Linked DNA regions of Canis lupus familiaris. The main gene of each other region encodes a partner of the protein of the gene in region 2 in a complex. Links are inferred from orthologs where the notes say so. Each region holds a gene or a part of one and is shown on either strand. Other genes may lie near its edges.

Region 1 (4,577 bases), on a different chromosome or scaffold from region 2:
TCGGGCTCCCGGTGCATGGAGCCTGCTTCTCCCTCTGCCTGTGTCTCTGCCCCTCTCTCTCTCTCTCTCTCTCTCTCTCTCTGTGACTATCATAAATAAATAAAAATTAAAAAAAAAAAACTGATGTCTAAACCCAACCCCCAAAGATCTTGATTTAATTGATTCCTAGTAGGGACTGGGCATTGAGCTTTTTAAAAAATTCTTCAGGTTGCTCTTATGGGCAGCTCAATCTCAGAACCACTAATGTAAAAGGAGAGACCCAAGGATAGATTGATGGAAAGCACCTAACTTAGGGATCAGAAGGAGAAAGAAAAGCCAGAAGCAGAGATGGAGGTGTGGGGATATTAATAACATTAAATGCAGCAGAAAAATCCAAGTTGATGAGAGCTGAAATGAGTCTTTGGATTTGTCACCCAGAAAATTACCTGTAAGAAAGCAGTTTCAGTAGAGAGATGAAGGCAGAAGCCAGCTTGCAAATGCGGAAGTAAGCAGGAACTGAAAATGCAGTCCTAGGCTCTGGCAAGGAAGGGAGAGGGCAAAGGATGGATAACGGATTTAGACAAAGCTAGAACAATGATGACAAGGGTAAGGGAAACTGAAACATGTTTTAGAGCCCAAAGGGAAAGATCAAATAGAGGAAGTAAGAGTGAAAATATAGGAGGGAGGATGGGGGACTGGCAAAATAAGCAGAAGGGAATGAGACCAAGGATGTGGGAGCCTGGGTCGTCCCCCTTAGAGAGGACAAGATTTCCTTCCTCCTCTGAGGTTGTAGAAAAAGATGGGAAAGGGGAAACAACAGAGAAATGGGGAGGTAGAAAGGAGAGCACAGGGAGTTCACACAGGATGGGCGTGATGTCTTAAGCCTAAGGTTTTGTTCTATTACCGATAGCACCCCTGTAATCAGAAATGCTACTAGGAGAAACAAGTCAAGCTCCACCTTCTCCCCCAACAACTAACTCCTAGGCTTATCACTTGATTAGCCACAGAATTTGAAAATGAAGACAGGAAAAAAAAAAAAAAAGACAAAGCTGCTTCTTCACAAGGCTCTGTCACCCACGAGGCTCAGAGAAACACAGCTTTTAAAAAAGAAATGTATTGCCCCTCATTTTAGGCATTTTCTCTTTAAGGCTCATTCACACAAGCTGCATTATACACTTTATATGCTACCTAAAGCTGAAATTAAGTCTCATCCCTTATTAAACTTCTCTGGTTTTCTATTGATTTGAGAGATCTGGATTTATTTCTTTAGAAAGAAAGCAATGTTGCTCTTCTCACATTACTCCCCTGATGAAAATTCTCCTATAGTTCTGCACTGACATACTTTATACATTTACACCTTCAGTATCCAATCCTGACCTGGTATCTAAAACAATTTTTTTTAATCACATTTCCACTCTTTAACCACAAACTCTATCCTGGGGCCCCGCCATTCCCTAACACGTTGTCATCTCCATACTTTTGCTTCCTTTTCTCTGCTTAGTACACTTTCTACCCCCCTTATATCCAGAGCCTACTTACGCTTCAAGGCCTAACTCAAGTGACTCCTCCATAAAGTCTTTCCAGATCCCCGACTCAGAGATTACTATCTCACCTTCCTCTGAATTTCCGGATTTCTTTTTCAGGTTGATGGACTTCTACTACATAAAATTGTTTTAAAAAGTACATTTCTGCATGTATAGGTCTCCACCGGTATTAAACTTTAGGACAAGAATCATCCCCCTTCCAAAGCTGTATCCCCCAAGTGCCCTTCTGTCCTGAGGTGCTATAGACAGAAGTCTGATAGGACAGGAATATGTCAGTTTTGTAGAGATCATTACACTCATAATCATCTAGCTGGGGTTAGGTCCCGCCTCTAGCAAGAGAGGAGTAAGTTAGATTGGCTCCAAAGGTCTTTTCTAACCCTGGCCTCCTTCTACTGGCCCATAATCCTTCCCCACATTTTATTTGTATCCTTATAGTTAGATCTTTCACCCTCAGTCAGCAGGAATCACTGAACATTAGTTAGAGCCAGTCTTTTTAGCCTTCAAAAACAGTACTACACAAGTCCAAAAACAAGGAGTCATAAGGCAATTGTGAAATGGTGTAAAGTGCACGAAATTTGGAATCAGAAGACACGGGCTTTGGTTTTTGCTTTTTCTTTACTGGCAGAGTGACCTCTGGGTGGTTGCTTGGCCATTCTAACCTTCTGTTTCCTCATGTGTACAATGAAGATGGTCCCAGGGGTTTAAAAAAAATACGTGACTCTGTGTGTGTGTGTGTGTGTGTGTGTGTATTCGTTTATGCACTCCAGGCTTGGCAGTGATAAGAAACTATAAAGTCTAGGCCGGGGTACGGGAAACCCATTTTGTCCTCTTCTCTCGGGGGCTTTTGGAGGGGGAGAATCCTCTTTTTTTTTTTTTTTCCCCAAGAGAGCGGCTATGACCTTAGGCCAGTCCCCAGCAGTGCTCTCGGTGGTGGCAGAAGGAATGCGAGTCTAGGGGCTAGGGACCACAAGGGAGGAGACAAGCAGTGCCATCAGGCCAGCTCTGCTTCCTAACCAAGCACCCTAACCGCCTGCTCTGCCCAGAAGTCTTGACAAGGTCAGAAGGGCGTAAGGCCGTCAAGGGAAATGAAGTGATTAAGACCTCCAGCCTCGGCTAACGCCAGGTTTAGGAAGAGCCCAGGTCTTAGATCCACATTCCTGCGTGACTCAGGACCCCGGAGAAAAGGCTTCCCAGGCTTCGGACGAGACCCAGCAAAAACCGGTCTCCACCCCCAGCCCTCTGGTGAGGCTCCCGTTACCCCCCATCTCCACGTACAACGCCAAACGCTGCCCTGGGTAAAATTAATTACCATAAACCTCTAGCGCTTTCTCTTCCATGATCCGGGGCTGCCGGGCAGCTCCCCGCTCAAAGAGGCCGGAGAGCCACAGTACTCTGCTCAGCGTCCAGGAGAGCAGCCCGGACACCCGCTCCATCCTCATGCTCCGCCATCCCTGGCGACTGTCCCACCCGAGCCACCGTCTCTCAGCAGCGGGCCTCGCAATTTATCAACTTCCTGGTCTTCAAAAGGGCCGAGACAAGCCTAAAGATCCCGGGGAGCAGAAGATAGGCGGGACCTGACCGGAGCAGCGCGGAGGACCTAGGGAAGGGCCCCGCAAAGACTACAAGCCCCAGCATGCTTTGCTCAGTTTTGGCGGGACAAGGCGGGGAGAACTCCTTTCAGCACGTGAGGTGCATTGCGTGCTGGGACATATGGGACAGAGATGTATTCTGGGATTTGTAGTCTAGGTCGGGGAAGAGGCGATAGGTAACTGTTACCTGCCACTGTTTGCCTCATTCAGCGCCCCCGATGAGCTGAAAATGAATCCTCAAGAGGTAGGGGAAAGGAGATCTTGATTTCTTTTGCTGGAGGAGCGTGTACAAAGAGTCTACGGTTACTTCTCTGAGGGAGCCGCTTCTTACTTCCTAGTCACGCCGGAAGTGAGTTTCCGTTGCCGTGAAACGGAAGGTGTTGGGAGTCCAAGGAGGTTGATTAGGTGATTAGGTGCCGGGCCGGGGAGGGCTTTTTGATTTTTCCCGTTTCAGAGGAACGGAGGTCAGCACAATTCCCCAACGGCCACCTGAAGATCCTGCCATTCGCCTTCAGAGACAACTTAGAATGAAAGAGCTCTCCCTGGGCCCAGCATATCCAGTAGTGACATACTGCAAATAGATCATCATCCTAAAAAGAATGTCTTAAGTCCTCTGGTGGTCGTGGCTGTGATGAATGCCAGGAACAAGGTGGATGATGTTAGTTTTACCTACCCCTCCCTCCGAGTCTCAAACGTTTATTGGGCACTTACTTTCCCAGACGTGGTGTATTTATAGACGCCGAGAATACAAAGATAGGAGGCGGCCTCTGCCCTCCAACAGCTCATAGACCTGGGAGGGAGCCAATCCCTGAAGTTGAGTGATTTGCGATTAGAAACAAACCAGACTTTGCTACCAAATGCCATCTCTATTGAGAAGGATCATTTTGCAGAATTACCCCCATGCTAACATATCCCGTTTATCTTTATAAAGTTTTGTTTATTGTCTGGCTGATTTAGACTTTAGGCTCACCAGGTTAACAAGGGAATAGTTTACGCCCCAGGGAAATTGTGTTCAGGGTTTTAAGAATTTCCCTGCCATCTGTCCCACTCCACTCCACGGCAACTAAGAGGATATAACACCGACTTACTTGTAGCCAAATTTAGGACGCCGAGATGTCCCCTGCTCTGAGGCCTCCCTGCATCTCCAAGCGTAACTGATACCCTCTTTCACTGCGCCCAGAGCAGATTACAGCACCGAACACCGTTGCATTTGTTCATTTAACGTGTGTGTCTCCATCAAGTGCCTCGTGGGTCAGGAGCTTCTTTATTTCTGTATTTCCAACGCAAACAGTAGGTGCTTAATATATGTTTCTTGAATGAACTAATAACTAGATGTTGTCCAAAGAATAAAGTGAATGAAACTTTACCGCCGCCTTTTGGAAAGACCTCAATCAAAACCACTTACTGAATCTCAATGAGAGAGCACCGTGCGTGGCATAGGTAGGGGGCACGTAGAGGAGCTTTC
Region 2 (4,841 bases):
GTGCATATCAACTATTTTTATGGTTTGGATTATTTCCTATGGATAGATTCCTAGGGCCAGAATTGCCCTCTGACCACTCCTTTATGAATGGTACGGCTTCTCTAGACTCCATAAGGGTAGAGTCAGGGTTACCAACCCATAAAAATCCCAACCATGAACCCAATTTCTACAATAACTTTGGATGTACGAGATGGTGTGACACCCCCCCAAACACACACACACAAGGCTGATGCTGCTGTCACAGCCTGTGATCTTAAAGTAGGTACAGACCCGGTTCTGTAAGTCTGTTCCCTGCTCCTGGGACCCTCAGGCTGGCCAGCCCTAGGCCAGCATGGTACACAGTCTGCCTAATCTGAAGAAATGAAGGGGGCTGCTCTCTGTTTCCATGTGTTCCTAAAGGTGGTAGGAGCACAGGGTTTTGTCTTCTCTAAAAGCTCTCCAAACAGGTGGGTGTGGGGATGGAGGTCTTACCAAGCAACGTCGTAAATGGTCCTGGAGTGGAAGCCCGACAAAGTGCAGATACATTTCCAGCTTGGGTCAGAGCCGCTGCATGCCACCCCTGTACAACAGACTTCTCTGAGCCGAAGACAGGTCTGTGTCCGGGGGACCTCGGGAGGAGCTGCTAATCTGCCCTCCCTCACCCCTATCTTCAGTCATGAGTCCTCATCCTTACTGATCTGCCTTACATACTGTGGTCAGACAGGGATTTTTACAGCAGAATTCTAAGAAGGAAAGGTCCTGTTCCTTAAAAACTTTCCAGCAGACTATGTCTGACTAGTTAGCCTGCCTTTTAAGGCCACCAACCAGCCCACCCAGCCACCTGACCCACCTTATTACTCCCCAAATCCTTTATATCCTATGCTCCAACTAAAGGGATCATGATTCCTGGCATAAATCTAGGCTTTTGCACCTTCAATGCCTTTGCTCGTGCTGGTCTGTTTCAACCCAGAATTATCTTCTCGCGTTAAAATCCTATACACACTTTCAAGTTCAGATGGAATGGCTCCTTTTCCACACAGCCATCCTTGATTCCGCCAGCACTCGCTTGGGAGCCCTCTCGTGGCACATCTCTCTTACTACTCCAGTTTGCTGTGATTTATCTCTAGGTCTTAGACCCTTAATACACCGTAAACCTCATGAGAGAGGAGTCTCCTTTAGGTCTTGGACTGGCCACTCACCTTGCTCGTTGTCTGGTAGATACTGGCGCCAGATACGCACAGTACGGTCATCACTGCAAGATGCCAAGCGCTGGCCACTGGGGTCAAAGGCCAAGCTCCACACAGTGGATTCATGGCCTTCAAGGGTGGCACAACATACCCAATCATCCTCTTCCTCCCGGTAGAGCTTTACTGTATCATCATAGCTGGCAGAGGCTAACAGCTGGGGGAAGGAAGGGAACACAGCACTTGTCTATAGGGCTCAGGAAGTGCCTATAGTACCAGTGCCTCTCCCAGCTAGGACAGTCCCAGAGATCTGTCTCTATAAAGGGATTAATAACATTTTTTCATCACAGACAGAGATCCCCATAGAAGCCAGGTTGAGGCTGAAGAGCAGAGAAAGGCTGGGTACAACTCTCCACACCAAAATTCCTTCCCACTAAGATAACTTCACCCCACTCTTACCTCCTGGCTTGGGTGCCAAACCACATGCTTGACATCCTGTGTGTGAGAGTTGAGGACGCTGACACATTCATACTCATCTTCTTCATCAACTACGGGAAAGAAAAAGAAAGGAGCCCATGAGCTGACCTCGTCAGGGACACAGAGGGGGATGGCTGTTTACTGGTTCCCAACTCCATCGAGATGGATTTAGACTCACCTTCCCAGACCCACACACTCTTATCTCGGCTGCAGGTGGCAAGAAGGTTGCCAGAAGGGGCCCAGGCCACTGACTTGACCTCATTTTCATGGCCCTCTAGAGTAGTTACACACTGTGAAAAGAGAAGAGGAACAAGAATCAAGCAACTAAGATCTCTGGTGTTCTTTGCATGGGTACAGCCCAGCTAGCCCAGGTTGGCTCAGGTTCCTGAACCAGCCCTGGGGAGCAAAAAGGCAACAATCCTGCTCCCATCCACCCTGGTTACCTCAAAGTCATCCTGGTTCTTTTTCCAAATGCAAGTGGTAGCATCGAAACTGGCAGAGGCCAGGTAATTGCCACACGGGGACCAGGCCACCTTCCGCACGGTACGCTGGTGGCCTTCGGAAAGGACAGATTTGCAGATCCAGCTGTCACCTAAGAGCAAAGGACAGGCCAAGCTCTGGAGCTGGGTGCACAAGAAGGTAGAGAAGCACTATCAATCCGATGGGCAATGGGGGGATTATCTGGTCGGTGCATTTAAAAGCTTGCTTTCGGAAAGCTGTAACTACTACTTCCTCCACCTCCCCTGCAGGCATCGTTCTAAAACCACCAGAGGAGTCACCTACCTTATTTAAAACTGTCAATGGCTCCCAAATGCCCTCAGGATAAAATTTAAACTTCACATTGGGTCACAAATTACTCTGCAGATTACATTCCCTCCACCCTTCCCTCCTTTTCCGGCCTCAGCAAGTATCATAACTTCCTCAACAGTTCTGGCCTACTGACGTTTTTGCTTCCTCTACTCGCCAACTCCTTCACCCACAAAGTCTCTCCTACAGTGAATAACGTCTAACTCAAGGCAGCTTCTCACTTAGCCCCCTGGCCTGTAACCTCATTCAGGGTGGGCTTGTCCCAAAGGCCGCGGACTCCCCGAGCCCAGCACGCACAGCACGCGCACGCTGAAGCCCCGGCAGCAGGGGTGGTGCAGCCAGACTGGGCCTGACCTTCGGTGCCCCAGATGCGGACTCTACGGTCACCACCGCACGACGCCAGCAGGGTTCCCGTGGGGTTCCAGGCCAAGAACCAGCACCGGGAGTCCGGGTGCGCCGGGACGCGGCCTAGCAGCACCAGCGAGTCCTTCATGGCGGCCCCCAGCAGGATGCGGAGGAGGTGGACAGAGGCGACCGCGCCGACGGCGAGTCCGGCAGTGCAAACCTCCGCGACGCCCACTCAGGCCTCGGACGGCCTTCAGTCTCCGCCGATTTCCGCCCGAGGGCCCGGGTCTTCCTGGGAACTGAAGTGCCCGCGGCTGCGACCGTGCTGCCCTCTGGGAGTTGTAGTCAATTTGCCAACCCACCCTCCACCCCGCCGGCAGCCAGTACCGTGGGACAGCCTCGAACTACCAGTCCCGTGAGGCCCTGCGCGGGGAATCGGCGGCGCGCCCAGGCTGTGACGCGCGCGGGGGACGGGGCGGGGAGCCGGAGGAGGCGGAGGCAGAGGTGAAGGAAGCCGGAAGTGGATCGGGCCCGGGTCGGCCCGGGCGTTGCGGGTTTAGGGCCTGGGATCGCCCTGCCCCAGGCAGCTGCGGAACCCGTGACGGAGCGGAGCGGCGCCATACCGGCCCTGAGGCCTACTGACCGGTGAGGAACAGGGGTCGGTGTGGGGGAAGGTCCTTTCTGGCCAGAGGTCGCACCCCAGAGCACTGTTCCCAGATCCCGGATCCCCGATCCCCGCGGCCCAGCCTGGCCCCCGACCCCTGGGCACTCTTTGGCCGAGATCGCGGACCTGGGTCTCTCTCGCATCAGTAGCCGGTACCAGCACCCCCAGTCCGTTCTGCCCCCATCCTGGCCGGCTCGCAGCCCTCTCCGGGTCCCTATTCCGAACCTCCGCAGCCCCATTCCAGGGACCCCATCCCCGCCCCCCCCCCGACTCCCTGCAGCCCTCCTTTCTGTGCTGGGCCCCAGGTCCCACCCTCTATCCTCCCGTGTGGGCCCTGACAGCGTTGTGTCGGCCTCCCCTTCTGTGAACCCAGCGCCTTGCTCTCCTCCCCGGGACAGGCAGGCTCAGCGCGCCCTGCGGAGGTCCGCGGCGACCAGCAGCGACCGCGGAGCGACGGCGGGCGGCCCCGGGCATGTACGCCCCCGGAGGCGCAGGGCTGCCCGGCGGGCGCCGGCGGAGGAGCCCGGGAGGCAGCGCTCTGCCCAAGCAGCCGGAGCGTAGCCTGGCCTCGGCTCTGCCGGGTGCCCTGTCCATCACGGCGCTGTGCACTGCCCTCGCCGAGCCTGCCTGGCTGCACATCCACGGTGGCACCTGTTCCCGCCAGGAGCTGGGGGTCTCCGACGTGCTGGGCTACGTGCACCCGGACCTGCTGAAAGGTGAGGGCGTTGCGCGCCGGCCCTCTTCTTTCTGAGCGATAGGGCCTCCTTGCTGATAGCAGAATGTGGTGCGGGCTGGAGCAGAGATAGCCGGCGGCAGGCTCTTGGCTTGAAGGAAACAACCCCATTCCTGCCTGGTGTTCATGCCCACCAGGTGGCTCTCTTTGGGGTCTGGCCCCTCATTAATTCTGATGTTATTCAGCCAGGCACCTACTTCTCACGCCATGCTAATATGGACTGCTGCTATTTTAGGATACTGCTGGAGGAAGGGCGCTATACAGCGGTATGTGGGGAACAGATAAGGGTGCTAGGCATCACAATTAGCTGTCCTCCTTCTAAGGAGCGTATGGGATATAGGAAGGTTTCTTTGGGCAGCCTGATGGAGGGAGGAAGAGAACTTTTAATGTGGCTAGATTTTAAAAGATATTTTGGGAGATCCCTGGGTGGCTCGGCAGTTTAGCGCCTGCCTTCGGCCCAGGGCATGATCCTGAGTCCTGGAATCGAGTCCCACATTCGGCTCCCTGCATGGAGCCTGCTTCTCCCTCTGCCTTTGTCTCTGCCTCTCTCTCTCTGTGTGTGTGTCTCTCATGAATAAATAAATAAAATATTTTAAAAAAAAGATATTTTGGAGTTCTGCTATAATTGGGTTGTTGCTAGAGAAAAGGGAAG

Evidence for each region. Proteins that work in one complex are often made in the same cells at the same time.
Region 1: CIAO1 (region 2) and CIAO2A share a complex: the UniProt entries of both Homo sapiens proteins name them as parts of the CIA complex. The link is inferred for Canis lupus familiaris from reciprocal best matches to the Homo sapiens genes CIAO1 and CIAO2A.

What each region holds. Positions count from the first base shown.
Region 1 is NC_049251.1:29,006,264-29,010,840, forward strand, and holds the start of CIAO2A (cytosolic iron-sulfur assembly component 2A), read right to left. Parts: upstream 3,137-4,577; 5' UTR 2,963-3,136; coding exon 2,833-2,962; intron 1-2,832. UniProt on the Homo sapiens protein: Component of the cytosolic iron-sulfur protein assembly (CIA) complex, a multiprotein complex that mediates the incorporation of iron-sulfur cluster into extramitochondrial Fe/S proteins.
Region 2 is NC_049238.1:34,685,287-34,690,127, forward strand, and holds the start of CIAO1 (probable cytosolic iron-sulfur protein assembly protein CIAO1), read right to left. Parts: upstream 3,119-4,841; 5' UTR 2,941-3,118; coding exon 2,802-2,940; intron 2,233-2,801; coding exon 2,084-2,232; intron 1,931-2,083; coding exon 1,819-1,930; intron 1,712-1,818; coding exon 1,623-1,711; intron 1,381-1,622; coding exon 1,179-1,380; intron 560-1,178; coding exon 472-559; intron 1-471. Other genes in the region: TMEM127 (transmembrane protein 127), read left to right, coding at 3,929-4,172. UniProt on the Homo sapiens protein: Key component of the cytosolic iron-sulfur protein assembly (CIA) complex, a multiprotein complex that mediates the incorporation of iron-sulfur cluster into extramitochondrial Fe/S proteins.